Linked DNA regions of Astyanax mexicanus. The main gene of each other region encodes a partner of the protein of the gene in region 3 in a complex. Links are inferred from orthologs where the notes say so. Each region holds a gene or a part of one and is shown on either strand. Other genes may lie near its edges. The genes, in order: dhx16, bud13 and cwc22.

Region 1 (10,876 bases), on a different chromosome or scaffold from region 3:
CAAAAAAACATGTATATCAATTTTTTACTTGTAAAGCCTGTGAAATATTGTAAATCTAAAATAAAAATGCTCCAAAGAATGTTTTTCACCTACTTCCTCTTATATTTATAAAGTTTTTTTCCCCTTTTCCTGTGAAGATTTTTATCTGACATCAACAACATACGGCAAAATAGTAGAATCAGTCCTTGTAAAGATTCTTACCTCATTTCCCAGCTTAACTCCCACTTCTTGTGCCACTCTGGCTGATACAGACATGGCTGCTACTCTTCGAGGCTGGGTGCAGCCGATTTTCATCCCTCCTTTGGTATAACCCTAAAATAAAGAATTGTATATGAATGTAAACACTTTCCTATTTTTTTTTACACATTTCTATAATTATAGGTGTTAATAACAATAATAATAATAATACAGAAATATAAAATTGTTTTGTTTTATTTTATGGAAGATTATTCTCTTAAAAACTTACATCCTCCATAAGGTATTGAGGGATCTGGGTGGTTTTTCCAGAGCCAGTCTCACCCTCAATAACAAGGATCTGGTGGTCTCTGATGGCATTGAGGAGGTCTTGTCTGTAGGGAAACACTGGCAGACTGCGCCTCACTTCCTGAATGGACTGTTTCTGTTTCTCAGCTTGAGAGAGCTCAGGCTCAATATCCTGCCAACAGTCAGCAGAAGAGAATCAATATAAATATAACCATGAGGATTTACCATAGTGCTTCATGTTGTATTCGTTATTTAATTATTTAATTACGGAAGAAAGAAAACACTGAAATGTTATGAATAGTGTGTATATATATATATATATATATATATATATATATATATATATATATATATATATATATATACATTCAATAAAAGTATACACTTTTATTTATCTACAAACCTTTTCAGATTGTGTTCCCTTCATGGTGATAGCAGTGCTTACAAAGTTAATCATCTCCTCCTCCTCCAGCACTAATTGGTACTTCTCTTTCTCCTCCTTTAACCGTCGCTCTCTCTCCGCTTTTGCTCCAAACTGTAAGGTTGCGGTAGCGACCCGCGCCTCCTCCCATCGGCCCTGCTCCCCACCCCCTTCGCGGGGAGTCTCTTCAAACTCCAGCTCCAGGTCTCTCTGAGGTATGGACTGAAAAACGGGGGAAAGAGCAAAAAAATTAAAATAAAAAATAAAAAATAAATAAAAAGTAAATAACAGGCTCTTTGTTCTTATAGAGTTCTTTTAAAACTCACTTAAGCAGTTTTCACAAAGATTCTGATATTCACCAGTGTTTTTTTTTTAGATCAATCATTATAAGAGCAGAGATGTGAACAGTTTTAAAGTTTAAAACCACATCATGAATCTGACAGACTTTTCTCAAAGAACAATTTAAGAATATTTTAAGATACTGATAAATAAATGAGGCTGACTCTTCTTTTACTGTTTTTTTCCCTGAAAGTACTGTTTAAGAGAAGTCATTTTCCCTGATATTAAAAGTCCTTAGAATTGTTGCAGCTCATCCACCTGCACCACATGTATTTACACTATCAATATTTTTATTAAAACACAGGCTCTCTAAACTCCTTAAGACTTGCTCAAGAAGAATTTGACTTACTAAAGTAACTGCTTCATTACTCCACGTGGTGGCTCTAATCAAATGATCAGGGTAAACTTGTGGTGATATTGAATATTGGTTGTTCTATGAAACGGACACCAATAAATCCATAATTTACCCTCTTCAGTGCGATATATTGGAGTATCACAGTTTGGGATATCATTGCAATCATAGGCAACATATTGATAATATGATAATATGATAGTATGATAATATTGTAGAATGAGATGCCCTGTGATTCCCACCACCTAATGTAGATATGTAGGTTATCATCTACCCAAAATGCTCCACCTTACCTTCTTTCTGTTCTCCTCTGGCATGTAGTAGCGGTTCTTTCTCTCCTCTTTCTCCTTTGCTCCAGCTGTCTTGTAGTCTCGTGCCAGGTCTCTGATCTGTCTCTTGTAGTCTAGCTCTTTCCTCTCCCTGTCAGTGAGGTTATCGCTGGAGAAGAGGTACTCCTCATCCAAAATCTCTGCTTCCAGGTCTTCCAGCTTCTCCTGCTCACGCTTGGCCAGGTAATCCCATCGTGACTGTTTTCGAAGCTCAGGGAGCTGTGGAGGAATTGTGAGAACGTGAAACGACGTTATTTAAGGGGGCTTTCACACTTGCACTTTTTAATGGCTGAAATGGACAGTTATGAACATACCATGAATGTCATATCTGATGTTTACAAAAATCTTTAACTGCAGCAGACCAGTGCAAACCATGTATAGGTGTGAATGAGCCAAAATATAGTACGCTTTGCAATGTGAAGTATACTGTATATCCAAGACAAATTAAGCTTTAGTTACTTTAGTTGACAAACAATCCAGCCTCATCTTAAATTGTGAATACTGGACAATGGGAGGTGGCAATCTTTCAATTTAAACTACTCAGTGTTATTTATAAAATGCAATGAGATGTGTAAGAGGAATATCTTACCATTTTCTTCTGATCTTCTTCAGCCATCTTAAGTCTCTTCTGAGCCTCCTCATATGCCTAAGAGCAAAGAGGAAGTTTCAGTTACATTAGTTTTAGTTAAAAAGGTAAAACAATGTTTTACACATATAATATAGTGATGTTTTAGGGCTCATACCTTCTTATCGTTTCTTTCAAGTATATGTCTAGTCTTTTCTTTGTCTCTCTGCTTGACTCTTTCTGCAAATGCGTCTCTCTCTTCCAGATCTTGTAACCGCTCTCGCTCCTCCTTTTCCCACTCTTCTTCATCATCCTCTTTTACTCCTGTCTTTGAATCTTGGGATGTTACTTTTGTGCTGAACAGAGCAAGCAAACAAACAATAAAAATAATACATTTAAATATGCACTTTAAAGCTTCTTAAAAACAAACTCTCCCTCCGTTTTCAGGTAATCAAATTCAGTATTCATGTTTTAAGTTAAGCATTTGTGGTTTTTAAACATTACTCGGTTACACTGAATTACACTGCAACTTAGCACAATTTAACAAGTGCAGTCTCCACAAGGGTAGAACAAGTACATAATAGCTTAAATAAATTGTCACAGTTTAAAATTAATTCAATTTACACTGTTATACAATTGGCTGAATGTTTTTACAAAACTAATTAAATGAAAAGGCACAGAAACTCAAATGAATGAAAATTACACAGGAAAAAAATCTAATGGAAAACTTAAGTGGTGTACATGAGTCAAAGTATTTAATTCTAATGGAAATAACAAGTGAAAGGAATCTAAGTGGACAAAACCATATTGTTTGTTAGGGTTACGTCATCTGCATTAGGTCTATGCGACACTCCCATAAACAAAGTGTCAGAGAAATCCAGTATAATTTTTTCCTCCATCTCTGCACTTAAACATTTAATATCTCACCTCTTTTTTCTGTCCTCCTCACTTGATGAACCGTCATCTTGTTTTTGTCTTAGGTGCTTTCTCTTCTTCCCTCTATCTTTATCTTTGCTTTTCTTCTCTTTCCCTTTTTCTTTGACAGTATCTCCATCACTGTCACTGTCCTCCAGGAGGGTGTATGTTCGGTTCTTCCTGTCCATCTCGATGGCCTGACGCTCTACCGCTCTCGCAGGTTTCTCCACAACCTGTTTCTTTGGGATCTGAACACAACAAAGCAAAAGGTGTCAATCATCAAAGTAAAGCGATATTACACAACAAAACACACACACACACACAAACACACACACACACACAGTTGGTGTTAACTTGGAAGGTACCTTGTTATATAGCTCCTGTGCGAAAGCAGTGACTCTCTGGTCGATGTCAATGGTGCCGGTGTGCTCCAGACGAGCCAAAAAATCCTGTGAACTCGAGGACTTCTGCACAAGGCCGATCATAAACTGGGCCACGTACCGGTCGCTCAGGCCCAAGATGTCGTGAAGCCTGTCACTCACCCACTGCTCAAGATTAGCCATGTTGAAGGGAGGATGAACAGCTGAAACACATTGTGCTTCAATGTTAACATCACCAATCACATAACTTTTACTTCTTTAAACATTAATATATTTCAATGACTGCTTCAGAGATTTTAAAAACACTTTGCTGAAAGGAATGGATTTATTAAAAAAACGAATTTGCACATTTTTTTTTTTTTTACTTTTTTTCAAATATATATTAGCGACATAGCACCAGTAAAGATCTAAAGAAATAAACTTTAGATGCAAACACGTAATATTCCATGGTCAGACTGGTTGTGGTGTCTCCTAATCATCTCCTTTTAAATCCCTTATCTCTTAATATTATTTTATACCCTGAAACTGAACACTGATTTTAGACATCTAACCTATTGAATTCTTCTTCTCTATTAAATTTAGCCTTTTTGTATTTGTATTTTTCCATACCTGCACCTAATTCATTCTGTATCATTATGCTAATATGCACATAATCTGTACTACAGTTCTTCTGTTTTAATATGTCCCAATTCCAGTGTAAATAGTGATTTAAGCACCTATATATTTTACTGTTTATATATTCGAATCCTGTTCAACTGAAGCAGTGAGTGAAAAAAATAATAGTGCGTGTGCATATTCTGTATTTTTAATTGGGTATATTATATGTTAACAAATAAGAGAGTTTTCAATCGCTTGTGTTCTGACAATAAATCTGATCTGATTCGATTAGATTTGATGTTATTGATGCCGTTTTGCAACCTGATGTGATGGGTAAATGAACACAGCTGTAAAGGAGGAAATATATACTTTAAAGCAAAAAAATAGAATTTAATGTCTGATAAGGCACAGTTCCTACAACTGTGAACGAAACATGCAGATCCCCGAGACAGTAAACAACCCCCATGACTCGCTAAAACTAACGAGAGTAAGAAAGAGAAAGAGTGTACCAGATCGTTTTACTCAATTTAACAGTTAAACAGAAGAAATCTTACCTAACTAAAGCTTATTTCCAGTTTGAGCAGATCAGGGAGCATCCAGAGCTCAGGCTGGATAAGTTAGCTGTTAGCTGTTAGCTGTAGTCCAGCTGAGGGTGAAGCTTGTAACACAGTCTGTGTGTCTGAAGTTCAGACCCTGATTCTTTCACACTGAAATATTATCTCCTCTATTCCATTCTCTTTCACTGACTCTCATCATCAGACTGTTAACGAAGGACTCCACAGGGTTTTATAGACTAAAACAGCAGCACTGTATCTGCTGCTGCTACTCACGCTGTCTTCACTTTATTTACTTCCGAGTTCGACCAGCCGCCACCTGACAAAATAAAAGCACAGATACATATATATATATACATATATATATATATGTATATATATATATATGTATATATATAGATCCAAAAACTGGAAGAAACTCTGTAAGGGTCAGTGTGATCTCAATTATTAATTTTACAATTAATTTACAATTAAATTGTAGTATATAAGTTAATTGTAACATTTTTCACCAGATTTGACAATAATTCTCATAGACTTAAATCTTAAGTGGCCGTTTCAAAAAACGCATTTGAGTAAATATGAAATATAAAAAAAGACTTTTTTATATATATATTTCTTTTTTTTATTTGATTCCTTTAAAAAGTAGTTCAAATTAATTTTCAATCAATTCAAAAATCAATCTCTGTTTAAAAATCTTTGCAATGTTATGTTCTTGTTAGAGGGCTCTGTTCTTCTAATGGATTCAAATAACTATTTCATTTAACAACCCTTTAGTCTTTTAAAAACTTGTTAAATTTTTCAGACATTTATCATGCATAATATCAGTTATTAAAAAAAGCTAAATTATTATAAATTCTGTCTTTTGTGTCTGCTGCTTAGTACATTCAGAATACTTAACATCATCACTGCCATGCAAAAACCTTTCCTTAAACGAAAAAAATACAGGAGAACAAAAAACTTCTAGAGTTTCAAAGAAAGCCGTTTTTTTTCATATCATTTTTGACCTTTTTATTTGTCCATTATTATATAAAGACATTATAACAACTGCAAATACATGTGCAAAAATAAAAAAGAAAGAAATCGAGATTTTTTTTTTTGCGATATGCAGATTACATGCAAATAAACGCAGGTTAATCTCCGCCCACTGCTCGTGGCCGCTCAGATCTACAATTGTGTGTGTAGTGGCTTAACTAGAAAAGTGAAGTGGGCCTGATGTGCGGTAGTACACTTAAAATACTTGTTACCGGTTTCAGTTAAAAGGTGTTGTTTTCTGCACACGGTGAAGGAAGTGGTCTCTGAGATTAGACCTGAATAAATAAATAAGAGGAACCACCTACCAGCTTAAAGTGGGAATTAGCCTCTTGTCAGCCGCATTTTTTACTCTCAGAGCGTCAGGAGTGCTGGGTTTAAAGTCACCGCCACTTTAGACAGGCATTAACCAAGAAAATCGTGGATATACGCTTTAATTAGGCAGAAATGATCAGGAATTTTATAAACTTTGTGCTTTCCTGCGTTTTGCTAGCTGTTGTCTGTGGCTATCGACCAGTGGTTATTGTTCATGGGCTGTTTGATGGCCCCAAACAGTTTGTGAAGCTGGGGACATTTATCAGTGAGGTAAGAAAAAAAACAAATGTAGGTAAGTTAGTAGTCTTGTAATTGTCTGTGTTTATGAAGATTAAATAATTGTGTGTGGTGTGAAATGCTCTATTCCAGTGTAGGCCCACTGCCCTGCACATTTTACCAACACAATAACGTGCTGTTGTTAGTGAGCTAATGAATTAATTGGATCAGGTGTGTTGGGAGCAGTGGGCCTCCAGGACTATGGTTGAGAAATACTGCTGAATACTATACCCTATGAATATATACTATGCCCCATAAAAACTGAAATAGTTTACAAATTACATTGCACAAATACTAAGGTGGAATTTTGGCCTAAAATGTAACATACACAACTTTCTTTTTGACCACTATTTTAGCTGTAAATAGTTTTAATGTAAGAAACCTTAATAATATTCCTAGGTCAAACTGATTTGTTTGTCTGTGTAGTTAAAAATAGTATTGTTCTCCATAACCATGTTTAGCTGACTTAATATCATCATAATTAATATTCAAGATATTCAAATGATTCACCCAATACAGAACATTGTTTCTATTTTAAAGGTTTATTTACTACGATGCAGAGTTGGCTGGAACAGTATGTGTGCAATGAAATACATAAATATATTCATCTTGATAATACGAACATTAAACCATTAAATTATGGACAGTAAGGGTTATGGTTAGGGTTTTGTGCTCCAAAATGATTACAATGGTTTATTTTGTTTACATACCAAGGATTAAATTTGAGGTTTTTGAATATCATTTAATCTACCCCACATTCTACATGAACATGATATTTGGCAGTTTTGTAATTTGTATACAACCAATAGAAATGCTCCTGACTTGGCATAAAATCTTTTAATTTATGGGGTGCACAATAAATCAATACAGACTTATGTATTTATTTATTTATTTATTTATTATTTTTTACATTTGTTACAAAACAATTCACTCATTTTTGTTGCATACCTAGCAGACACACACATTTGCCTAAAATTGTTATGCAGAGGGGGACATTGAATAATTAAATATTGTTAAAATATTTTTACTTGTTGTTTTTAATTGTATTAATTAAGCAATGTTTGTTATTTTTACTATTTTAACACTCTTTTTATATTGAGTTCCATTGAACATTGTTTTTGTTTGCTTCTGGAACATTTTTGCATGACTGTGACAAAATAGTGGTGAAAAGCAAAATTAGATTTAATTTTACTTCAGTTGAATTATTTCTGACCAGATAGAGAACACTTCTCAATGCTGGTCCTGAAGTACCACCACCCTGCACCACATTGTAGTATTTCTCAGCTCCATTTGGCAGCATGTGATCCAACTGAGGGCCTACTTTACAAAACCCTTGTAAGCTGTGTTGGTGCAGGGGCCAGAGACATTGCAGTCCAGTGGTACTCCAGGGCCAGCCTTAAGAAGCACTTCTGTGTGTTTGTGTGTGTTGAAGAGCGGGAGTGTGTGGGTGTATCAGTAGTTTGGCATTGCTGTTTCCAACCTGCAACTAAGTTTCTTTCAGTTCATGAATTAAAATCCTTGACTTCTCTTTTTCACTTTGTTTTTTAGACTCACCCAGGTACCAATGTGACCACAGTAGACCTGTATGACAACATGGCCAGTCTGAAACCCCTGTGGCAGCAGGTTGAGGGCTTTAGAAAGGCTGTGTTGCCAATCATGGAAAGTGCCACAGATGGAATTCACTTCATTTGCTTCTCACAAGGTCTGCTGCCCTTCATGTCCAAATCCAAGTTTCTTCAGCTGTTAGGAACTATATAGTTTATATAGTATAATTACAGACCGTAGTTCATCTCTTTCTCTGCATACATTATTGTCGTCCTTATATTTTGTTTTTAATGGTCAGGTGGTCATGACATAGTAGCGGGGTTTACTGTAAGTATGTAATGTGCATTACAGAATAGAGAATGACCCACCACCCAAATAATACCTGTTCTCTGATGGTCCTGTGTGAACAGAGTAAACAGAGGATAATAAAGCAGCAGAGAAACTGAATGACTACAGTCTGTAATTATAGAACTGCAACATGCTCCTACAAGATCGTATAAGACAAGTGAGTATGTGCGGGGAAAAGGAGATAGTATTGTTATGGTTGACTGATGTATTTTCATATGGGTTAACTGTGCAGGTGGTTTGGTATGCCGTGGACTTCTTGCCACTCTTCCGAAACACAATGTTCATTCACTGATCTTTCTGTCATCACCACTAGCTGGCCAGTACGGAGGTTAATATAACTTTTACAATTCAATATTCAGCTGCTGTCATATATTTTTATCTTAATACAGTTTAACAACTACAGATAACTTTATTTTTAATAACTCTATTTTTACAGAAATATTATTTATTTTGTACAGTTTTATCACACATTATAATTACGATTTCTTGTACCATCAAGGTGCCATTTAAAAAATAATAATATATAGAAACACTGTTAGAAAATACACAAAGTTTAATTGTCTGAAAATTTCAAACACTAAAATCACCTCTCTTTTTACAGAAACTTCCTATCTGAAGAAAGTCTTCCCAAAAGATATTAAGTCAGGAGTTTATCGCCTGTGCTACAACTGCTGGGGACAAAAGATCTCAATCTGCAACTTCTGGAATGGTTAGAGGTTTTCACCACATTGTCTTTTTTTTTTAGATGTAATAAAATGGGAATTGTGGCTTGATTGGAATGTCTAGAATTTGTTTATGTAAATTTCTTTAGGGACAAACATTATCTAACGTATAGGAATTGAGTATACTTTTTTGGATTAAATAATACAATATTTTCTTTAAGTGTTACAAATATTGCAAAAAAACAATGAATATATTTTCATAAAGCTTAGCATCACCTGAATGTTGTGCTTATTTGGGTTTCGTGAAATAATTATTGAATTTTTTGAGCAAAAAAATAAAGAAATATTGCTCAGCTCTGTTCAATGTAGATTTATTAAAATCTTTAATTTAAGTATTTATTCTGATACAAATAATTAAATTCTGATATCATTGTATATCCAATTTGTCATCTTTAGATCCACACCAGAGAGTGAAGTACTTGAAGAGCAACACTTATCTTGCCCTTTTAAATGGCGAGAGCAAAACCCCCAATATAACAGGTAATCTCTTTTTTAAGATTTACAAAAAGCTATTGTTTTTCAAATTCTAACACTACTACTAAATTACTTTAAGACAGTTTTGAAGGCAACATAAATTGATTAAATATCTATGCTTTGGTTGAACATGAACGGAATCCTGTATTTTGTTCCTCTTTTTCAGAATGGCGAGAACGCTTCTTGGGCATTAAGAAGTTGGTGCTGATTGGAGGACCAGATGATGGAGTTATTACACCTTGGCAGTCGAGGTATCAGATTATATATTTAACTGCTCATTTCATCACTTAATTAGGAAATCATTTTAAAGGTGTTAAAATTACATTCAAAGAACACAACAATAAGTTCTATTTTTTTATTGAATTTGTTTAAAAAGTAATGACCCCCTACGTGATTTAAAGGACTGAAATTAATATCATGTATGTGAAAACTTTGATGAATGGTAGTATGTTAGTATGGAAAAGAAAAGTAGGGCTGGGCTATGGTAAAATATTATCACAATATTTTTTTGCAATATTTTGACAGTGTAGACAAAAGCATCTGTATCTGCATTTTTTTTGTCACAACTGCCATTCAGTTACTCTCCCATAGTTAATACAGTTCTTTATTTTTTATGTAAAATATGTTGCACTTCACCCAGATAAAAAAAGACTAATTACACTTGTAATGAAACTTTGTAATAAAATATGCATTTAATAATTTAATCAATATTAATGGAGCACTGGGGATGTCCATGATGTCCATCAGAAAAAATATTTTGTGTCTCATGATAACAAAATGTATCACAATTTACTGAAATACCTGCATATTGCTTAGCTCTAACACATAGATATTTAAAAATCCAGACCTGGGGCCTCATTTGTAAAACTCTAAATTCTGAAGCAAAAGTGTGTGCACGCATAAAAAACAGGAAATTGCGCCCACCCAAAAAATTGGATAAAAAAAAAATGTGTGTACGCAAACCTAAATGCTGTTTCCTTTTATATAAATTACAATCTGCTTATAAATATTTGCAGGTGACCCAGCTGCATATTTCGCCACTCTGCTGCCCACATTTACCCATAAAAGTCCATGCAAAACACTTACTGACTATTTAAATATTGTATTCCCCATTTATCCTGAGTGGGATAACAGGAACTCAAGACAACAAAGTGAAATTTTAGAGACTGTGAAGTAGAATTCCTTGTTTCGGAGGTTGAGGCGAGGAAGAATGTGTTGTTTGGTGGTTGCAG
Region 2 (11,420 bases), on a different chromosome or scaffold from region 3:
GGAAGTGATGGAGTAGAAGAAGGGGGGTTGTTGGGGAGGAGCTGGGTTGCGAACTTTCGTCACGAGAGGTAGTTAGTTAGGGCAGGTATTTATAGGGCGGCTGATTGATACAGGGTGGGGTTAGAATGTAGGGTTCGGGTGTGGTCCTTCTCTCAAACTTTTGTTATTACATAACATCACTTATCGTCATTTTTAACAAGGAAAATACCCAAATTTGTGGGTTTCTTTTGATCACTTGTGCTGCACCATCTTGCCAGTGATTCTCATAGCCATACGTTTAGAGTGCTCCCCTGAAAATTCTAAATTGCAGGGCCATGTAGCCCCAGCACTTTCCCTAACCTACCCCTCCATTCTAACAGCTTAAGAATCAGGACATGCAAAACAAAGGGTCAGGGCTAATCAGTGGGGAAAATGGGATTGGGTGAAAGACTCCATGGAAATGGCGCAAGTGTACGAAAAATCAAAGAGCTTAGTACCCGTACCTCTGCTCTGTTGCCTTTGTGAATTAGAAGATGAGCTTTTCATAATCTTTCGTGGAGGAGAAGGTGACGAGGAGTCATGCCGCCTGCGTGATGTCTCTGCCTTTAGTCTTGGTGGGGAAAGGTCTGGAGAATCGTGTCGGATTCTCCTCTGTGGCGAATGGTCAGGCGAGTCGTGGCGGACTCTTCTTTTGGGGGACAGATCAGGGGAGTCGTGGCGGACTCTCCTCTGTGGTGAAAGATCAGGAGAATCATGGCGAGTTCGACGCACTGGAGAATTATCAGGAGAATCATGTCGGACTCTTCTGTTCCCTTTGACTTCTGAACTAAAGAGAGAGGAACACACATACAGAAGTAAAGTCAAGATATTCATAATCAACTTCAAATCGCTAAAATATAAACCTTTTTAAAATTCTTAACTTTTTATAAAAGTCAATCGAAAATGATTTTAATTACATATATTTTAGAGCATGTATACTGGTTTCTCTGTCGATAAATGTCCCACAGTATTTGAAGAACCTTACATCTTGGGTTGAACACAGAGCCCATTTCCATCCAACTATTTCCTACACAGCGCCAGTAGCCTCCTCCCACCTAACAGCTAGGCTACTGTGGCAATTTATGATCAAATCAACAACATTAAAACAGAACCTGAAGAACAACATTCTATCAAAAAGTGAAAAACAGAAAAAAAAAAAAAAAAAAAAGATTTTGGAGAATTAGGGCAGCAACTGATTATTTTGGTAGGCGACTATTTTTCCCCTCTAATTAGCGGTTAGTTATTTCTGCCGTGCTTTTCATCTTTGTTACCTGAAGGTACGGCTTTAAGCTGTTCCTAGCTTCCTCCATTTTCGCTAGAGAGACTATATCTTCGCTATAGTCAACACTGAAATTTGGATTAAATTTTTTTTTTAAATCAACATCGACTAATAGTTGCAGCCCTACTGACCATAAGATAATATATAATTCTTGTCAGCTGTTAGGATAAAGTTGAGTTACCTTGAATGTGAAACTGGAGATTCTTGGGATTCCTCATTTGTTGCTGTGAAATTTGACATAAACAAGAAAACCTAAATTACATTCAGTAAGAAACTAAACATTTTAAATTTAATCTCATTAGAAAGTCAAGATATGACATCTCACCTCCCATTATCCTCCACTTGTTACTGGTTCTAAATGCTTCCAGTTGCTGGACTTCATCTGGACGTTCGTCTATTATCTCTGCAACCTGCAAAGGAGACACTATGCTTCAAGAATGGAAGATGAAGCAGCTCGGCTGCAGAGATGACTTAATCAGGCAGAACATTTTACAAGTTAATTTTTTATCAGGCTCATCCACAGATGAATGGGTAGGCACATATAGGAACGTGCATACATGGGATATTTAGTAGTGAGGAAATTACACGACTGGTCTTGTTGCACAGGTGCTGCATCCTATCAGGGTACCACAGTGCTGGAGTTCCCTGGGCCCTTGAGAGAGACCCATTCTTTCACTAATGTTTAAAGAAGCAGTCTGTATGACCAGGGTCTTGGTTTCATTTACCTGAGGCTATGGAAGTGACTGGAACCTGTGAATACTTTTGATAATATAATGTAGGTAAAAAAAAAAAGTCATATAGTGTAGATGTGTATATATGCACACCCAGTCAGTCCAGTTTATCTTATATCCAATGACATTTGCATATTGCACCTACCATCTATTGCACTGATCCACCAAAGTTTTTAAATCTGTCTGTTCATCGACTGTACTGTAGTATTTTATGTCCGGGAAATCTAGCTATCGCTATCCCACTATGTGGGAATTCTGGGTTGATGCAGATATCCAATATTACATGCATTATATGGATATAGCTGCCGATTCTGATGCAGATATACACATGTATAACTTACAGAGAGACTAGAAATCACAGTATAACTTTTTAACTTTAAAGTTGATACAAAAAAGGCTTATATCAATATATTTTAGTACTAGTAGCATGGCCAGTGTTAGCCAATTGTAGTAGAGAACGAACACCTTTTCCAGCATACAATTAATACATCAGAAACTACGGGTTTGAAATATTGGCCATATTGGGGGGGGGGGGGGGGGGAGATATAATTCCATTATCATTGTGCATCTCTTATATCTAAGGAATAACCCTGCTAAAAATCCAGCTCAAGACCAGCTGGTCAAAAAGAAAAAAAAAACATTCCCTATGCTGGTTAGGTAGCTCGTTAACTAGCTTTTGACAGGAAGAGACTATGTGGTTTTCAGGGATGATTGGCTCATCTTTGGTTAATTCTTTTAGCAGGGATTGATATAGTCCAATCTGCCCTTTGGAAAAGATTTGGACACCTCTCCTTAAGGTGTTTTGTGACCTGAATAAGAGTTTTACTGTTTTTACATAACTGGTTGAAGTTCTACATTTGAACTCTTTATTAAATATAATTTAAATGCATTTCAATTAAATTTAACTAGTGTAATATACCACAGGCGCCTCTTCTTCTTCCTCCTCCTCCTCCTTGTTTTCCTCTTCTGTCTTCGCGCTCAGCTGCCTCCAGTCAATATCATCATCTACAATCTTCATCCTAAAACAGTGCACACAAGAACACTGACCTGTACATTTCATTACAGAGAGTGTAAACATTTCAGTAACATAAATCACTGTACTCTGCATGAAAGTAGGGGTGGGCGATATGGCTCTAAAATAATATCAGGATATTTCAGGGTATTTTTGTGATAACGATATACTTGGCGATATAGGAAAACAGAAAAATAATTAATTGATTTCAGGAATATAGTATAAGAGTAGAACAGCATAATCATAATGTGGCAAAATAAAAGATATAGCATAAAATATTATAATGCAGCAAAAAATATTGCAGAATATTTAGTGCATGCATATAAACTGCAAACTAAAACAATTATACAATAAATACACCTAAAGCTTCACAGTAAATAATAGACTACTTTTAATACAGAACATCTCTATTAGAACATCTCTAATCAGGATATGTATTTTTAATATCATGATATTTCTGTGTCACGATATATATTGTATACGATATAATATTGCTCACCCCTACATGAAAGAGTATTTGAATATAAATTTTAAGAAGATACACTTCTGGAATATCTTTTCCTCGAGTCAAAACAATAAAAACACCAAAATAAAAACAATGCTTCATAAGATTATCAGAATATCTTTAAGTACTGTGATATAATCTCCGTGGTCCACTGATATTTGCTTCTGTCAGAAACCTGTAAACAACTCTTTCATGTTGCAGTGATTTTCATATTTTACATGTATCCTTTCCTAAAGGTAGACTTTTAAAGTTATAGTGTTTACTAGCGGTGGGCAATATTATATTGTATACGATATATTGTGACACAGAAATATCATGATATTAAAAATCAATATTGTGATAATAGAGCTTCTCTGTCTTAAAAATAGTCTATTATTTACTGTGAAGCTTTAGGTGTATTTATTGTATAATTGTTTTAGTTTGCAGTTTATATGCATGCACTAAATATTCTGAAACGTTATTTGCTGCATTATATTATTTTATGCTAGATTTATTTTGCCACATTATGACTATACTGTTATACTATTATACTATATTCCTGAAATGAATGAATTATTTTAGTTTTCCTACATCGCAAAAATACCCTGAAATATCGTGATATAATTTTAGAGCCATATCGCCCACCCCTAGTGTTTACTATAAAAAGCAGCATGTAAGGTTGAATGGGTCTGATTAATGCTTACTATAACACTGTATTTAATTCAGTAGTGTACTGTAGGAGTTCCCCGCTCTATGGGTTATAGCTGTAGTGTTAGCATAGCTTAGCTTAGCATAGTTTCTGTGTGTTTTTGGATTGTTTAGCTTAGCATTAGCATAGCTCTGAGTTCCTGCAGTCCCGGCCGCACTCACCCTCTCCCCGGGGCTTTAACCCGCTTCTTCTTCCCCTTCTTCTCTTTATCCGCTTTATTATCCGCATCTTTACTCAGATATCGCTTTAAATAATCCGCTTTAGACAGAGCAGCGCCTTTACTCAGCCCTGTGGAAGCGGCCATCGTGTTTATGACCGACGTCACAACGACAACCGGAGCCGTTGTGGGACATACAGTACAAAACGCTTTTTTTGTGGGAATGACTAAAAACTTCATTGTGAAATATACTGTTGTACCAGTCATAAGTCTTTCAGTCTTCTTATTTAATGAGTTTTATGTTTTTTTTTACATTGTAAATATAAGGTTGAACTAATAAAAAACTAAAAAAAAAAAAGTGTTAAACAATCCAGAAAATCGTTGCTGTCCAATGAAAAACAAGTATCTCCATTTTTCATTTGTCAAAAATTTTTGATGAATCTACCAATAGAAGTTCTAGGCTACGCCACAGAGTCCTATAGTGCACTATCCCCTTCCCCAAAACACATTTTTGCAAAATATATAATGACTATTTTTGGTTCTACTAACCACAAAATCAAAGCTATGAAAGAAATAGCTGTTATTGTTTTTGCAGCAATACAACTCCAGCAAGATTTGCATGACTTTATTACAACACTGGAAATTTACAGTATAACAGCATTATACATTATACAGTATCAGACATCCCAAGTTGCAAAAGTTGATTTCAGGGAGCCAGTACCGAAATGCGGGAGACTCCCGCAACTTCAGGGAGACTTGGTTTGTCTGCAGTATAAGCACCCAATGTTCTAATGCTGTTCAAGGATCAATATTCTTGGAGGAGAACAATAATGTCCAGCGTTGCTCACCATCTTTTTTTGGGAAAAGAAAGCCATTTATCCCACAAGAAAATACAGCAATAATACAGAGATAAAAAAACAACTTCTTCTATTTTTATATTTCTTTCCCCCAAACCTACAAACCGAGATAAAATGCAGTGAAAGTGATTATGAATAATGGAGTGTAATCATGTTGACCCAATTGAGCTTTTCTTACATAATTTATATAAATGAAAGGAAACAGTGGTTTATATAGTGAACAGCTCTACATTAATGCTGTTTATTACTATTTAAGCACAACTGCAAATAAAATATGAATAAAACTGCCTTTTCTAAAATATGGAGGTTCACATAGAAGGAACTCCCCAAGAAGACTGGCTATCTACATCTATCTATTTGAAACAACAACAGGATGTCTGTGGGTGTCTTTTCTACACGCTCATGATCAGGAAATGAAAAGTAACGGTTTGTTTAAGGCTGCGCTCATTTCTAATCCTCCAGATCATTCTGTGATAATCAAACCCAGGTAGGCATTAAAACTTAAGCTTGCTCTTTTAAATATATATTATATATACATATACTTGATCTCCTTCTGACTTTGTGATTAATGAAGAATTAAACTTTTTGTTTAGACACTTTATGAGGACGGGGGTGGGGTGGAGGGGATTTCAGTACATGTAATGAGGCTTGCAGAATCATTTGTTTAGTCTTATCTGTATACTCTGTATACATCATGTACTATTCATTGCATTTCCTGTGCCGTAGGATATGAAGCCATCTTAATAAGTTGTGACATGTTGACATGGGCCATCATGCCACTTGACTTAAAAAAGACAAGACTAGATTACCCATTATTAATCCCATAGAAGAGACATTTGCAGTGTTACAGCAGCACAGTGGATGAAAATGTTAGGAAATATAAAAACAATAAATAAAACACAATGAACATTTTTTTAAAAAGAAATATAATTGATATATTTACATTTGTCTATTAGGTCATCTTCTAACAATTTTATTTTTTTATTACCATTAGAAGAACAGAAGTTTCTAATGGCAACAAACTTAATGCTTGATACAGATATATCATTTGAATGTGTAAAGGCAACACTAATGCTCACCAAAGTACACAGCTGGCTATACGTGGGCCTGTTTTTTTGCCTGAACATTGCAAATATAAATTTCACCCAGAATTTATGTGTCTTTAAGACTTCTTTAAAATGATTAAGCACCAAATTGTATCAGTATTTTGTATTTTTTGCAGTGATCTGAACACACTCTGTGGACTTCATCATGTGGGCAGAAAACGACTCGGGTCCTCCAGGAGTGCCTTGTCTTGAGAGCCGTTCAGAGCCTGTAGAGGGAGGAGTGTATCGGATGTATCACGGCACTTCTCGACCTGCTGCTGAGAGTATCATGGCTCATGGGTTTAAGCAGTCTGTAGACGGCATGCTGGGGCGTGGTGTTTACCTCAGCCGTGATCTTAATAAAGCCAGCAGATACCCTCTGAATTTACCTGAGAACCAGAGAGTCGTCCTGCGTGTAAAAGTTAATGTAGGAAGAGTGAAGAAAATTGATCGTCAAGGTCACCCACTGCAGAAGAGCTGGCACGATCACGGGTACGACACTGCCTGGTGTCCTCCAGAGTGCGGCATGGTTCCCAGTGGTCTTGAAGAAGACTGTGTGTGGGATCCCAACCGTATCCAGGTTATTAATGCAATTAAAGCAAGACGATAAGGGTACGTTAAGGGTACTGGAATCACTTCCAGCACTAGGACCAACAGAATGTTTTATACAATGCTGACGTACAGTATTAAAGTTAGTTATGATAAACATTCTACTTTATTAAGTCTAGAAAATAGAAATTCAATCAATAAAGAACTGAGGATCTTATTCACTTCTCTATGTTTTTTATCCATCTCTCTCAATTCAGTTAAATTCAATTTTATTTATATTGCACTTTTTACAACAGAAGTTGTCAAAATGCAGCTTTACAGAGAAAAACAGGTTCACGCCTCTTATGAGGAAAGAGATGATAGAGAGCACAGAGATCAATTATTCTAGTGACATTAAGAGGAAGAAACTCTAGGAGGAACCAAGACTCATTCAGAGGAACCCATCCCTCTCGAGTCGACCCGCTCACTACAATCAAATAACAGAACAAAACATGTGGAGCTATATCTAATGTAATAGGTACTTCAGGAACAGGGCATCTCGATACATGTAGAAGAGATAGATAGAGAACACAGAAAGGCAGAGAAATTGAACTATTTTTGCCTGGATGTATGTAGAACAGTATGTAGAGTGTGGCTAATGACAGCCTAACTAAAGGCAGAGAGCCAGAAGGTAACACAGACACGGAGGCACCCTGAAAGACTGGCATCCACCCACTCCACCAATAGCAGTACCAGCATCTCAGTTTATCCACAATTCCCTTTATCCATGAACCCCTGGATCTGCAGCCTTATCTAAAGGGAAAAACATTAACTATCAAAATCTAAACTAAACAAGTAAGATAAAGATTGAGACTATGTCTGAGTCCCGAATATATTCTGGAAGATTATTCCAGAGTTGGACATTTGGCATAGAAGACAGTGTTGTTGAGCAAATAACATTTGACTTCAATGATTAGATTAGATTATTATTCACAGCTCTGGAATTATTATTTTAGCTCTGGAAGCTTCTTTGGAAGGGTTACATTTCTCAACATAGTACTTTCCGATTCCCCAAAGATGCCCAACAGGTTTCAGATCAGGCAACATGTTAGGCCAGTTGTTGATTTTTACTTTCGTTTCTTCAAAAATTAATCTGTGTTTAAGGTTTTTCTGATATTACATGGCCCAGTTCTGGGCCCAGCTACCACTTGTATCTTGCTTACACGACCCAGTGGAAGGACACTGATAACTCCAATTTACATCATGGTGACCGCAAACAGCAGCCGCAGCCAGCTATAATTGGGGTAGTTTATACTAGTGGTGTCAATTAAAATACTAGTATATACTAGTATGTTTGAGGGGAGATAAAGCCAACATGGGGTGCTGAAATAAAGAATGCGTGATCAATTTGATAAAGAAAACTTTTTTTTACTTTATTATAAACATCTCAGCTTGGTTGTAGGTATTTCTGAATTAGAACTTTAGAAATTTGCTGAGTATAAAAGAGTGTTTACACACCTGTAGTTGTGAAATTTCTATGATCCGGATCAGTTGATGAGTTTATTGAGTTTATGAGTTTATTTATATAGATAGTTTATTTGGAGTGTTTTTCCCTCTGTTTGGTTTGGTTTCACACAGGCATAAACCTTAACGCAACAAATGCGCACTAATAAACCACGTGACATCCTCTCCTCTGATTGGTCAGAGCTGTCTGGCACTTGAGCAAGAAAGTAAATATAGTGAGAAGATTCTGTGCTGCAGCACATATACCTGTGCAGTGTGAAGCTGCTTTAACACAGAATGCTGAAAATTTGACTCTGTGCTTTTAAACATGTCTCACTCTCTTTCTTTCTCTTTTAAACTCATGTGAAAGAAAAGAAACTACAGAAGAAAAGAAAGCGAAACCAAACGCTCATGAATGTACAGACAGGACCTGATGATGATGATGATGATGATGATGATGATGATGATGAAATTATGTGGAATTTTGTCGGTCTGACTGGTAGGCCATGTAAAACAGGTTAAACAGGATCTAGACATTAAAACATATATATGACTCATAACTTTATCATTTTAGTTTCAGCTTTTAACTACCAGTGCATGACTTAATATAATTTACCCTGACCACGTGCCGCATGCAATCAGACAGAAACTGTCACGGAAACTGTCACATTTAGATAAAAAAAAGCTAATAAAGTGAAGATTACCCTTGTGAAAAAGTAATATACTTAAGAGCATTAAAAGTATTTTCAAATAAGGTAAAGAATATAAAAGTGTGTTTTCAATTTTACATACTTTAAGAAAAAGCACATTAAATATACTTTCTCTGTATTTCCAGAAAATGTATTCTTAAGCAATATGCTTTAGTGCTTTAGTATACATTGTGTTGATAGAATATAGTAGCAATAAATACTGCTTTGTTCCATAGTCATTGAGGTGTATACAATATGTGCATCAGTACGCTCAGTACACAGTACACTTAAAATATACTTCAATTGTATGTTTAAAAACACATACTTAAATCTACTTAAGTTTGCAGAAGTTGTACGAGAAAGCACTCAAAAGCACAATTTAATGCTTTTATGTTGCATTTAAATATAGCTTAATTAAAAGTTAAATATGCTTAAGTTGCCATACGTTGTTCCAAATTAGTACATTAAGTATGTATTTAAGTGCATATTTTAATTTTAAAAAGTATGTACTTTAAAAATATATACTTAATACACTTTTTAGGGTGTATACAGGGTAATACAGGGTATTCTTCAAATAAATCATCAATAGGACAGTTTACATTTTAACCCAAAATAACCTATAATGATCTATGCGTGCAGACCCTTTAAAAGCTGTGTAAAGTTCTGTCCTTTACTTATTTATAAAGTCCCTACGTTACATATAGCCTGCTGAATATCCTGAGAGCATCACTACAGGGCGGTGTTTGAATCTGCGTTCGTTCATCTAAGCACTGGTTTAGTGCAAGAGATAAAACTAGCTTCTTTAAAAGTGTATTTTAGCTTCTAAAGCTCTGTTCCAACCATGTAACCTTTAAAATGCTTAAATTAAATGTATGTTTTGTGTTATATATAATTAGTTCTTACCTGATTTTAAAGAAGTTTAATTTTTAATTTTGATGTTTAAATTTAATTTTGGTGTGGTAAAACACGATGAAAAGATCTTACCTTTGATGAATAGCACAACTCAGTTCTCCAGAAATTTTAACAGTTTGTCCAAACACCCTTCAGACTGGGTGACACGGGGCATATTTTACCCCGATAAATCAATTTTTCCATCGTTAAAACAAGGCATTAATAACTTAAAAAGTGCACAAGAAGCTCAATAAAAACACTTTTTATATCCTATAACGCTAGCTTCAGCTGTGAGTGCCACCATTACTCCTGGCGCCGACTGCTACGCTATGCAGAGTCTATATAGAGGTGTGCTATTCATCAAACCATTTTTACACCAGAGTTCTCCTTTAACTATAAAATAATAAAATACAATTTTCATGTTACATCTGGATTATAACCTTAGAATATTTACAGTCATGTGCTCTTTTTATCACAAAAAGAAAAAAAGTAAATATAATTAATTTTGTATCAATATTCAGAACTGGGAAGAAGCCAGAACTCCATTAAGAACAATGAGCATGAATTCCTACTTTCATTCATACAGTTCATTTAAAGAATGTGTTATTCTCTATGGAAGCAAAAATGGTACCTCTAAGGCATTACTCAAATAATCTTTTGTAGCACCTTTAGTTTTTTTAGAAATAAAAAAAATCTTCTGTAAATCTTCTGATTTTCTTATCAATAAAAAAAACTCATGCTACATTTGAATCACTCATATGATACAGGACAGGCATCTTTCAGGTATTTAGCTGTATTGTGAAATCTCATACACAAGAAATGAGAAGCATCTATGGAATGAGGTTATAAAGCTAACACATGCTTACGTAAACACACAGCTCTCCTTTATAAACTCAATCTAAAAATGAGCTCAGTCTGATTAGACGCGTCTTCACACAGGTGAGTGATGTACCCTTTTTCTTTACACAGGTTTTCTTTAACTGTGTTTCAGGCTGTCTGTGAACTACACAAGCGGAAGTAGCTACAGAAAAATTATGAGTATTAGGTAGCACCAAACTGTATCTACAAAAAGATGTACTGTAGATATTTTATGTATTTCTGTAAAAAACGAAATTTAATTAGGTGTGCCTAATATTCCTGATTAAACAGTGGCTTCATCACACATTAAAAATAATTGAATAGTGCATTTATAAAGCATTATGTATATATTTATGAACAGCTTATGCCATCATTCACAACATAATATAAGATTTTGTATGAAATAAATTATATTTTATTAATATAACCTGCATGATTGTTAAATATGAAGTGTACATTTAGTAGAAATGAACTATGAGAGGGAAAAAAAACACTGATTTAAGGCATAAAAGAACATTAAATAACATGTCTACATAATTCTGCTTAAAGCAGCAGTCTTTTTTCTGTTTTTATATATATATTAAAAGCAATAGTGTTCCTGAGTGCAAAATATTATATA
Region 3 (10,786 bases):
GCCGGGGCAGCAGACGGGCTTTTCTCCTTTGTTGCCGGAGGAGCCCGTGAGCCGGGTCCTGAGCGGTTCTGAGTGAGATACAGGAGGATGAAGCTCCGATCCGAAAGAGGAGGAAGGAGGGGGGTTGGTTTTGCCTCGTGGAAGAATAGCCTTGGGTTTGCTTCCTCTGCAGAAACGAAAGGCCTTCAGGGAGAAGAAGCAGCAGCAGCAGAGACCCCCAAGCTTATAGAAACGCCGGCCAGTACACAAACTTATCTACACAGTGGGAACAATGGGAAACGGCCGGGCCCTCGGCATCCAGGGCGCTGAAGGGATAAATTATTAACACAGACTGGTCATCGCTATAAAAAGGATAAAGAAACAGACTGAGATAAAGCAGTATAAGCACTTTACCCTGAGCTCCAGAGAAAAACTACAGATTTAGCCTCAATTCTGCATCCGAGCGTATCCACCGTATCCACCGCATTTACGGCACCATCCACCCTGATATCAGTCGAGCACCCTTTTAAAATAGTGGAGGAATTTTCAACTCTAAGCTTAAATCTCTGTCAAACAAAAAACAGACCCTCAAACGCAAGCTAGACACAAAATGCAGTCAAATATAGAGGTGGGCGATATGGCCCTAAAATAATATCACAATATTCCATGGTATTTTTGCGATAACGATATTCTTGGCGATATGACAAAACATTCAATTAAAACATGCAAAAAACTGCAAAAAAATGAAAATGTATTTTTAATATTGCATACGATATTATATGGCACATCCCTAACTGAGATATTTAAAAAATAAATAAATAATTTTATCAGATTTGTAACAGAAGTCAATGATCCTGAATAATCAGTCATGATACTAATAAGTGTTATTCTAATCACGCCAACCAATAATGCACTCCTCCAAATATCTCCATATAAAAGAAAGGATTAAAATAAAATAAATGAAAACAGTAAAAAGTAGAACCCTGATGTGATAATTAGGGGTGGGTGATATATGGGCATCATATTTCAGGTTATAATATGGTTCAACTTCACCATATTTAAAATAGTTGGCGATATTATCGCATACGATACGATATGTCACAACCCTAGTCAAATAAGTAAAAGAACCAATAATGCAGGCGGTCACCACTAATGCATTAATGCATGCCATTTGTTTGGGAAAATTAAACCTGTTTGTTTTATTTAAGATAAATTATTCACGTGCGTCTGAGAATTTAAAGAGCCTGGAGACACATTAGCGGTTTTATTAGGCGACAGTGCCACTTACTGACAAGTTAGGAAGACTAAACAGCACTGCTGAGATAACGCCATGAATATAATGACCTTGTTGAGGTGAATTCACAATTAGAACAGTCACAATGCTAAGGTAAATGCTGAGGTAAATGCTGAGGTAAATGTATAAATAAAAGAGCACTGCTGAGGTAAATCCATGATTAGAATAGCACTGCTGAGGTAAATCCATGATTAGAATAGTGCTGCTCAGGTAAATGTATGATTAAAAAGAAAGAAGCTTTGCTGAGGTAAATTCATGATTAGAATAAAAATATTTTTTGTACACTGGAATATTTACTATTTCAGGTTCCAGACTATACATAAAGAGATTAAATGACAAAGATAAAGTGGAAAAATTATACATTTTACCTGTAGTGTATATTCAAAGAATATTGAGATTTCATTTTAATTTCTGAGGTAAATGTATGATTAGAATAGCCCTGAATGATAATGTTTTGTGTGCAATAAACATTTTTAAATTGTATATCTGCAGTTGTTTTTTCTTTTTGAAAAGCAAGACAAACATAAATGTATACTATTTAAATTTTTAATGGTATATAAAGATAATTTATTAAGTTTGTACTGTGAATAAAAAACTTAGATATGACTCACAGGAGCTAAAATACACTTTTCTTTTAGAGCTTACGCTCTTAAATTTTTAAACACTTCTTAAGTGGAACAGATGGAACACTTACTGCAACCTGAAACTCCAAAATAAACTACTTTATCAAATAAAACGTTCCGAAATAAAACAGGAAGAGAAGGCTAAGCTAAATAAATCATGTTAAAGCCAGTGTCAGAAGGTGTCTGAAATATTAAAAATGGATTATGGATTTTTTTATTTACGTTCTGATTCTGAAAGTACCTTTTAGGTCACATTTAATCTCAAGATCATAGAATGATAAGACTACATATATCCCTAGATACAATACTACAGTGTATAATTAGTGTGTTAGTGTGTACAGTGTATTTCGCCCCACCCCTATAGACATTTATTTTTGCTTTTTTTTTTATCATACTTACATTTTTCAGATTATTAAACAAACTTCAAAAACAGAAAGACCTGGGTAAACATAAAAAAAAGCCTTTTTTACTATTTCTTGTAATAAGGGAAAACAACATTTATCCAAACCAACCTAGCCATAGCTACAATGAAAATCACTAAAATAGAACATATCTGAAAACATAAGGAAGATAAAAGATCTAAAAAATCAGCACATTATTATTCTCCCATCTGAAGAAATTCAACATCAGATGAGAAAAAGTTACTGATCATCTTTCAGTCTGGAAAAGGTTATAAAGTCATTTCTAAAGCTTTGAGACTCCAGAGAACCACAGTGATTCACTATTATTCACTAATGGAGAAAAAACAAATGGAACACTGGTGAACCTTCCCAGGAGTGACCGGCCGACCCAAATTACTGCAAAGGGCATGAAGAACTCATCCAGGAGGTCCATAAAAGAACCCAGAACAACATTTAAAGAACTGCAGGATCTCACTAAAGCCTCAGTTAAGATCAGTGTTAATGATTTAATAATAAGAAATAAATAATAAAAAAAAAAACACTGCTGACCAAAAACAGAGAAATACAACCACCCGTCTCACATTTACCAACTAACATCCTGATGATCTCCAGCTGCTTTTTATATTTACTTAGGTTATATTTGTTTGATATTGAAGTTTGTTTGAGAATATGAAAAATATAAGTATGACAAAAAAAGCAATGACAAAAGAAATCTATAAGGAGCAAATATATTTTTTACGGCACTATAATAGTGTAGTGTGTATTAGTTAATATAGTGAGAGTTAGGTGAGAGTTTGGCGAGAGTTTTATAAACACCACTCTACTGGTAAGTGTAAATAAACACCAAGAGTTTGTGTGTTAGTTTAAAACAGTGAGTATAAGTGTAGAGTATTAGTGTAGTATATTATAGTGAGTATTAGTATAGGTATAGTATTGGTGGTGTTGTAGTGTAATGGTGTAGAATTAGTGTAGTATAGTGAGTATTGGTCTAGTATAGTGAGCATAAGCATAGTAGACTACAGTGAGCATTACTGTAGTATAGTAAGTATCAATGTAGAATATTCTAGTGACTGCTAGTGTAGTATAGTGAGTATTAGTGTAGTATGGTGAGCATTAGTGTAGTACAGTGAATTTTAGTGTATAATAGTTTTCAGAATAGTATAGTGTTAGTCCAGTACAGTGCATATTAGTGTGGTATTAAAGTGTTAGTATAGTATAGTGAGTGTTAAAGTAGTATTACAGTAGTAATACAGTATAGTATTAGTGTAGAATTAGTGAGTTTTAATGTAGTATAGTGAGTGTTCTACAAGTAGTCAGTGTTAGTCCAGTATAGTTAGTATTAGTGTAGTATTATAGAGTGTTAGTGTAGTATAGTTAGTGTTAGTGTAGTATAGTGAGTGTTATTGTAGTAACTAATAGTGTTAGTCTTGTATTACAGTGAGTGTTAGTGTAGTAAAGTGAGTATTACTGTACTATAGTATTTGTTAGTCTAGCACAGTTATTATGAGTGTGGAATAGAGTATCATTATAGTAATTATAGTGAGTATTAGTGTAGTATAGTGAATAGTAATGTAGTATAGTGAGTGTTAGCTCTAAGTTTGGTGCTAAAGTAGGACAGTTGTTTGAACACCATAATTACTGTAAACATCATTACTATTAACTGTAAATAAACACTAAGAGTGTGTTTGTTAGTTAGTATAGGGGGTTTATTAGTGTGTGTGAGCCGCATTTGACCTTAAATCTGCTGTTTAATGATCAATAACCCGATTAATCGATAGTTGTGTAGTATGAGATTAATAACGCGCGCTCCGGGAGTGTGTGTGTACACAGGCCGCTCTCCCGCTCTCTCCCCCCGGTCTGTGTCCCGCGCTCTCCCCGCTCCGGGTCCCGCTCCCCCGCAGCGGTATCTCCGCCGCCCGCTCCCCGGCTCCCGCTCACCTGCTCCGGGCTGCGGGTTAATCCCTCCGCCGCCTCTTTTTCTCCGGACTCCGCCGCCGCCGCCATGTTCGCCTCTTTCCACCACGAGTGGAAGCCGCTACGGGTACCGGAAAGGGACAAACAACAAAAGTGAAAACGCGTTTTAGACGCAGCTTGAAGTCGATGTCAGAAAAAAAGGCGCGACTTCCTGTATGAACACGGTAACGTTGCGACAACGTTTAGACAGTCTATTATTTTGCAGCTTACAACGTTTCCTAAACGATTAAACGTAGAAACTACTGTGTTAAATTTAAACAAATAACAAAATAAGACGTTATTGATATTATCTCAATAAAACACATTATTATTATTACTATTATTATTATTATTATTATTATTATTATTATTATTATCATAAAAAAATCATATAAATCTTCACTTTAACTAACTTTTTCTATGTTATATACGGTTTTATTGGTTGTGGGGGGTGAGTTTGTCTGCAGCACTGCCTGATTACATTACCATGGTCCTTTTAAAATATTATATTGTTAATTTTTTAAACACGTTTTTTTTTTACAATGATTTAGCTATTTTAAATGTTTATTATTAACATTTGACATCATCAGTGACATCACAACCAAGGTATTGTTTTTAGGGGGCAAATACTTTCTCACATATATTTTTTTTCACAAATAAATGAAATTATCGTTCAAAAAAAATATTTTTTTAGTTACTCAGATTATCCTTGTCTGATATTAAAAGATTTTTTTTTATTCTGAAAATGTAAGTATGAAAAAGAACCCAAAACTAAAATGAAATACTTTTTTTACCACACTGTATTTCTTGATTATTGTTTATTGTAAATGCAGTATGCCTACTGAGACATGTGGGAAAGTTTAAGACAGAGGGAAATAACAGGAGTGTGAGAATAGGGAGGAGTGAACCACAGAGTCTACATGGCTCCCCCTTAAACCCTATACTAATTATTTAGCTATTAATACTAATACAGTAAATAACTACTGATATTGTGAATGGTGGAGTTCCACAAGGTTCAACTGTAGGACCTATAGAACTTTAAATATCTGAAGTGTGAAAATAAAGCTTATATGCAGGCTCTACCAGGTACACAAACAAACCTGATCAAGGTTAAAATTTTTAGGTTGAAATCAATACCTTATACATTTTTTTAATATAAATATTTTCTGAGTTGCTTTGAAAATGCATTGCGGACCACAACTGATACCCATATCACTGGTCTATAGTGTTCTGCCCTTTGTGCTCAGCTTGAATGCAGTGAAATAACCATCTATTTTGCTCAGAATAAGTTTTGTGCTTTTTGGATTGGATCACTCTTTTTAAGACCTCCTGAAGTAAACAAGACGTGTAATTGGAGCAGGAATGTCCTGTATACTGCTATATAAGACTTTCCTCTCAGTAATACACCTGTATGTCTTGGTCCTGCAGCCAGACAGAGGCTGTGCCCCTGACGTCCTCCACCAATCAGAGAGTCTCAGCTCTAATTTAACTATCCCGTTGGCAGGACATGCCACACACTGCCCTCTCTGCCCGCTGTGCCCACTCTCTCTCTCTCAGTACAGGAACCAGCGCCACAGGCCCTGCCCCACCACACAGCCACCAGACGGCCGGTAAACACTGTGTGAGAGAAATAATAATGAATAGAAAATAAAAACAACAAAAACAACAAAGCTAAAATTGCTTTACTTACATAATAACAGTTACTGCTGCATATTCAGCCAGAGGTTCAGTTCACATTAAAACCATAAAACTGTTCTTAACACTATCAAACATTTCAGCAACATACACTCATTTATATCAAGGTTTGTGCATGTTTAATGTATTTATTTTAGCTTATTTTTAAAGATAAGATAAGAGAAAACTTTAACTTTAGTGGAACCTTTAGTCTCCTGCTTGATGGCAGCAGCTGAAATGATGAGTAAAGAGGATGGTTATGGTCACAATGCACGATTATAATCACCTGTAAATCACCTGTATTGTGTATTTTTCAGATTTGGGGTTGTGCGTTCATCGCTATCTCGGTAACACAGGCGCCGTGCCGAGCCGAGCGTACACCCCCACTTATTACACACACATGAACACACAGCAGCACAAACCCAACTTTTACATCAACAATAAACAGAATAGTAAATAAAATAACATTGCTGTTCCCGTAAATGAGCTGCTGGAGCTCCTTCACAGCGTCAACCAGCAGCTCAGTTTCCTCTGCTGAGAAGAGTTTGTTGAACACGTCCAGGTAGCTGCACCGTTACAATAGCAATCCACCAAAGACAGAGCTCACCTGATCTACTCTTAAAGAGAATGATGAGCTGAAGAGACTCTCTGATTGGTTTATTAAATTTATTTCACGTTACGCCCAAAATTAACCACACCCATGATTAATACTTTTCCCGTCTTTACAATAGCAAAGACACACTGCCACGCCCTAAATCAAGCTTCATGGTGCACGAATGATGGCACACCTATGGATAAATAGGACCTAAGATCTCATGTGTCTAGAAAAGGAATTAAATTTAGTATTTATCTCTAAGTAGTACAGTAGGGCAGGTTACTGGGCTGGTGAGCTGGCACCGGATGCTGAGGCGGTGTTGGGCGTGTGTGTGGTGTGTGTGGTTCAGGCTGCAGTGTGTGTGGTCCCTGATGGCGGTGTGGACCCGGTGTAACCCAGTTGAAGCCCGGTGCCGGCCTGGGCCGGGTCCAGCTCCATCTGGAGGAGTTTAGTGTGTGATGGGATGCAGCTGCTCACCAGCCACACCACACTAATACTAACACTCCTGCTCCTACTGCGGGAGAGGACGCCCCCTACTGAACATCTGAAGAACAGCTCTGTAAAATAATAAGAGAGCACTTAAAAATGATGAGTTTCTTTGATTTTACCAAATTGAAAACCTCTGGAATATAATCAAGAGGAAGATGGATGATCACAAACCATCAAACCACCAAACTGAACTGCTTGAATTATTACACCAGGAGTAAAGCAGCATAAAGTTATCCAAAAGCAGTGTGTAAGACTGGTGGAGGAGAACATGATGCCAAGATGCATGAAAAAAAAAACTGTGATTAAAAAACAGGGTTATTCCACCAAATATTGATTATTTCTGAACTCTTAAAACTTTATGAATATGAACTTGTTTTCTTTGCATTATTTGAGGTCTGAAAGTTCTGCATCTTTTTTGTTATTTCAGTCATTTCTCATTTTCTGTAAATAAATGCTCTAAATGAGAATATTTTTATTTGTAATTTGGGAGAAATGTTGTCTGTAGTTTATAGAATAAAACAACAATGTTCATTTTACTCAAACAATCTATCTCTCTGTCTCTCTGTCTGTCTGTCTGATTATCTCTGATTAAACTCGGCAGAGTGTGTACAGACTCTTTGCTTACACAATACCGCCCCCTAGTGCTGATCAGAGGCAGTGCGTTACTGCTCTCAACCTGTTTATATTCCAATATATTTGCTTCTTTGGTTCTAGTGCTGTTTTTTTGTGATAAGGGCTAAGCTATCCTTTCATTGGCTCATAAACTTTTTATTTGGCTTGTTTAAAGTCTATTCTGATTAAAAACAGCTCTCGGTTAGTGTTTTGACACTTAAAAAAATAAGAAAATGCATGATGCCCATTGTAATGAAAGCAGGGTCTGAAAGGGTTAAAAAATGGTTTAATGTTTTTTTCTTAGAGTTATAGCCACTTCCTCTATCAGTATTTTAATTTTAAGTGGGAGTGAGTGAGTGTGATTAATTGCTCTTATTCTGTTATGTTGTGTAATAAAAGTGTAACTAACAGTGTTTTATCATTCTGAGATAATCACTCATCTCATCATATCCTCTGTTTCTCTAAAACTCGTTATTAAGCGTAATTGAAGACGTCACCTATTATCGACTCGTCATCCGTCCTGAAGCGATTGAGATTCTTCAGTCTGGTTCATCACTCATCAATCATCATCATCACTCATTACACATCACTCATCAATCATCACTCATCATTCATCACTCATCGTTTATCATTCATCACTCATCATTTATCACTCATCACTCATCAATCATCACTCATCATTCATCACTCATCACACATCAAGCATCAAACATTACTCATCACTCATCGTTTATCACTCATCACACATCACTCCTCACTCATCAATCATCACTTATCACACATCAATCATCATTAATCACTCATCAATCATCACTCATCGTTCATCACTCATCAATCATCACTCATCACTCATCAATCATCACTCATCACACATCACTCATCACACATCAATCATCACTCATCGTTCATCTCTTATCGTTTATCACTCATCAATCATCAATCATCACTCATCAATCATCACTCATCGTTCATCAATCATCACTCATCAATCATCACTCGTCACTCATCAATAATCACTCATCACTCATATATAATCACTCATCAATCATCACTCATCGATATTCACTCATCAATCATCACTCATCAATCATCACTCATTACTCATAAATCATCACTCATCAATCATCACTCATCACTCATCACTCATTACTCATCAATCATCACTCTTTAATAATCATTCATCAATCATCACTCATCAATCATTACTCATCAATCATCACTCGTCACTCATCAATAATCACTCATCACTCATATATAATCACTCATCAATCATCACTCATCGATATTCACTCATCAATCATCACTCATCAATCATCACTCATCGTTCATCAATCATCACTCATCAATCATCACTCATCAATCATCACTCGTCACTCATCAATAATCACTCATCACTCATATATAATCACTCATCAATCATCACTCATCGATATTCACTCATCAATCATCACTCATCAATCATCACTCATCAATCATCACTCATCAATCATCACTCATCACTCATTACTCATCAATCATCACTCTTTAATAATCATTCATCAATCATCACTCATCAATCATTACTCATCAATCATCACTCATCACATATCAATCATCACTCATCAATCATTACTCATCACACTGTCCGACCAATAATTATCTCTGATTAAAGCATTTTCAGACGCATCGTCCCTCTGCTAATCACCCAAGTCTCCGTCCCCGTCTCTGAGACGAGCGTCCTCTGAGTGACAGGAAAGGCCTGTCTTACCCTTAAACACTTCAGAGCGCATTAGGCCGCGATCCATCAGCCTAATTAACGGTACAGCCGGGCCGGCGCAGTTATTCTCCGGCCGGGAGGGACGTGACAGCGCTGTACTGTAATCTGACTGTGGATTTTATTAGTTCTGAATTATAGTGCTAATGACTCGGAACACAATGTTTTATAGAGTGCTGATCTGGCGATAATTTATAATCATCCAATAAAAGAATAAGAGTCAATAACAGAGAGAATAAGATGATGTTGGTGATGTGGATCAGCACAAGGCTGCGTCTGTGAGCTGGTGTATCAGAACCACCAGAGCTGCTGCGCTTTCCTCCGAGCGTTAGCGCTGTGATGCTACTCGATAATGCTACAGCATCAGCAGCAGTTTAAAAAGAGGCGGAGTCTGACTTCACATGTATCGGAGGAGGCGTGTGTTGGTCTTCTTAACCCTCCTGGTGTTGGAGCATCACTAGTGATGTTGGTTTAATTGGCCATGTAAATTGGGAAAAAATGGGAAAACAATTATAAATAAAATGAGTAAATTAAAAAAACGTACATAAAGAACATTCAGAAAACTTGACTGATTAATTAACTGTAACGTTCAGAAAACTTTATAGTAATCAAAATGGTTAGCTTCGGTGTTTCTACATCTGTCAGCTTTAATTCGGTGCTTTGTATTGAAACAATTTGACAAATAAATCTAAATTAATAACGTCTCCCTTTTTCTCTAATATCTAAAATGCCGAAAGTCATTGGACAGCAGTATGTACAGTCAATTAATTAACCCTTTCTCAATCTGACCCCCATTTAAAGCCTCTGAAAAAAGAGTGAAATTAGTTTTGTGATTCATATTTATTGCCTTCTCCTAATTTGATAAAGACAATAAGTAAAACATAAGATGTTTCAAATATATATCAACTTCAATGTCTGTTTTATTAGGCTGTTTTATTGGCGTAAAACATAAGAAATCTCAATATTTTACACATATTTGTGTGGTAATAATGTCGAGTTCACTTTTACATTCAGTTTTATTATCATTCTCTAGACCAGGGGTCACCAACATGGTGCCCGCGGGCACCAGGTAACCCGCAAGGACCTTATGAGTAGCCCGCAGACCTGGTCTAAAAATAGCATTTTTGTTGCTATTCTTTTTTTTTTTTAATCACAGTTGCATTGGTGTAATTTTAGATTATATTAGATTAATATTAGCTTAGCCTATAGTTTATATATTATTATACAATATAATGTAATATAATATGTAATATTATATTAAAATATAATATAATATAAAATGTAAACAATTGCAGAGATTTATAAAAATAGTGTTGCATATTGATATCTGTGTCTTCACATAGATGAATGTCATTAATTATTAATAACAACATATAATTAAAGGTAAATTGAGAAAAGTTGTAATTTCATGAG

What was found.
Region 1: cwc22 (region 3) and dhx16 share a complex: the UniProt entries of both Homo sapiens proteins name them as parts of the minor spliceosome. The link is inferred for Astyanax mexicanus from reciprocal best matches to the Homo sapiens genes CWC22 and DHX16.
Region 2: cwc22 (region 3) and bud13 share a complex: the UniProt entries of both Homo sapiens proteins name them as parts of the minor spliceosome. The link is inferred for Astyanax mexicanus from reciprocal best matches to the Homo sapiens genes CWC22 and BUD13.

The regions. Positions count from the first base shown.
Region 1 is NC_064425.1:26,942,619-26,953,494, forward strand, and holds the start of dhx16 (pre-mRNA-splicing factor ATP-dependent RNA helicase DHX16), read right to left. Parts: upstream 5,250-10,876; 5' UTR 4,936-5,249; intron 3,988-4,935; 5' UTR 3,968-3,987; coding exon 3,770-3,967; intron 3,653-3,769; coding exon 3,417-3,652; intron 2,846-3,416; coding exon 2,668-2,845; intron 2,571-2,667; coding exon 2,514-2,570; intron 2,144-2,513; coding exon 1,889-2,143; intron 1,127-1,888; coding exon 887-1,126; intron 656-886; coding exon 467-655; intron 313-466; coding exon 202-312; intron 1-201. Other genes in the region: ppt2a.2 (lysosomal thioesterase PPT2-A-like), read left to right, coding at 6,412-6,549, 8,104-8,257, 8,681-8,776, 9,050-9,157, 9,567-9,650, 9,811-9,895. UniProt on the Homo sapiens protein: Required for pre-mRNA splicing as a component of the spliceosome. Contributes to pre-mRNA splicing after spliceosome formation and prior to the first transesterification reaction.
Region 2 is NC_064424.1:6,795,216-6,806,635, reverse strand, and holds the start of bud13 (BUD13 homolog), read right to left. Parts: upstream 4,573-11,420; 5' UTR 4,538-4,572; coding exon 4,395-4,537; intron 3,048-4,394; coding exon 2,948-3,047; intron 1,708-2,947; coding exon 1,623-1,707; intron 1,522-1,622; coding exon 1,479-1,521; intron 806-1,478; coding exon 483-805; intron 1-482. UniProt on the Homo sapiens protein: Involved in pre-mRNA splicing as component of the activated spliceosome. As a component of the minor spliceosome, involved in the splicing of U12-type introns in pre-mRNAs.
Region 3 is NC_064418.1:50,563,990-50,574,775, reverse strand, and holds the start of cwc22 (pre-mRNA-splicing factor CWC22 homolog), read right to left. Parts: upstream 4,356-10,786; 5' UTR 4,302-4,355; coding exon 4,236-4,301; intron 1-4,235. UniProt on the Homo sapiens protein: Required for pre-mRNA splicing as component of the spliceosome. As a component of the minor spliceosome, involved in the splicing of U12-type introns in pre-mRNAs. Promotes exon-junction complex (EJC) assembly.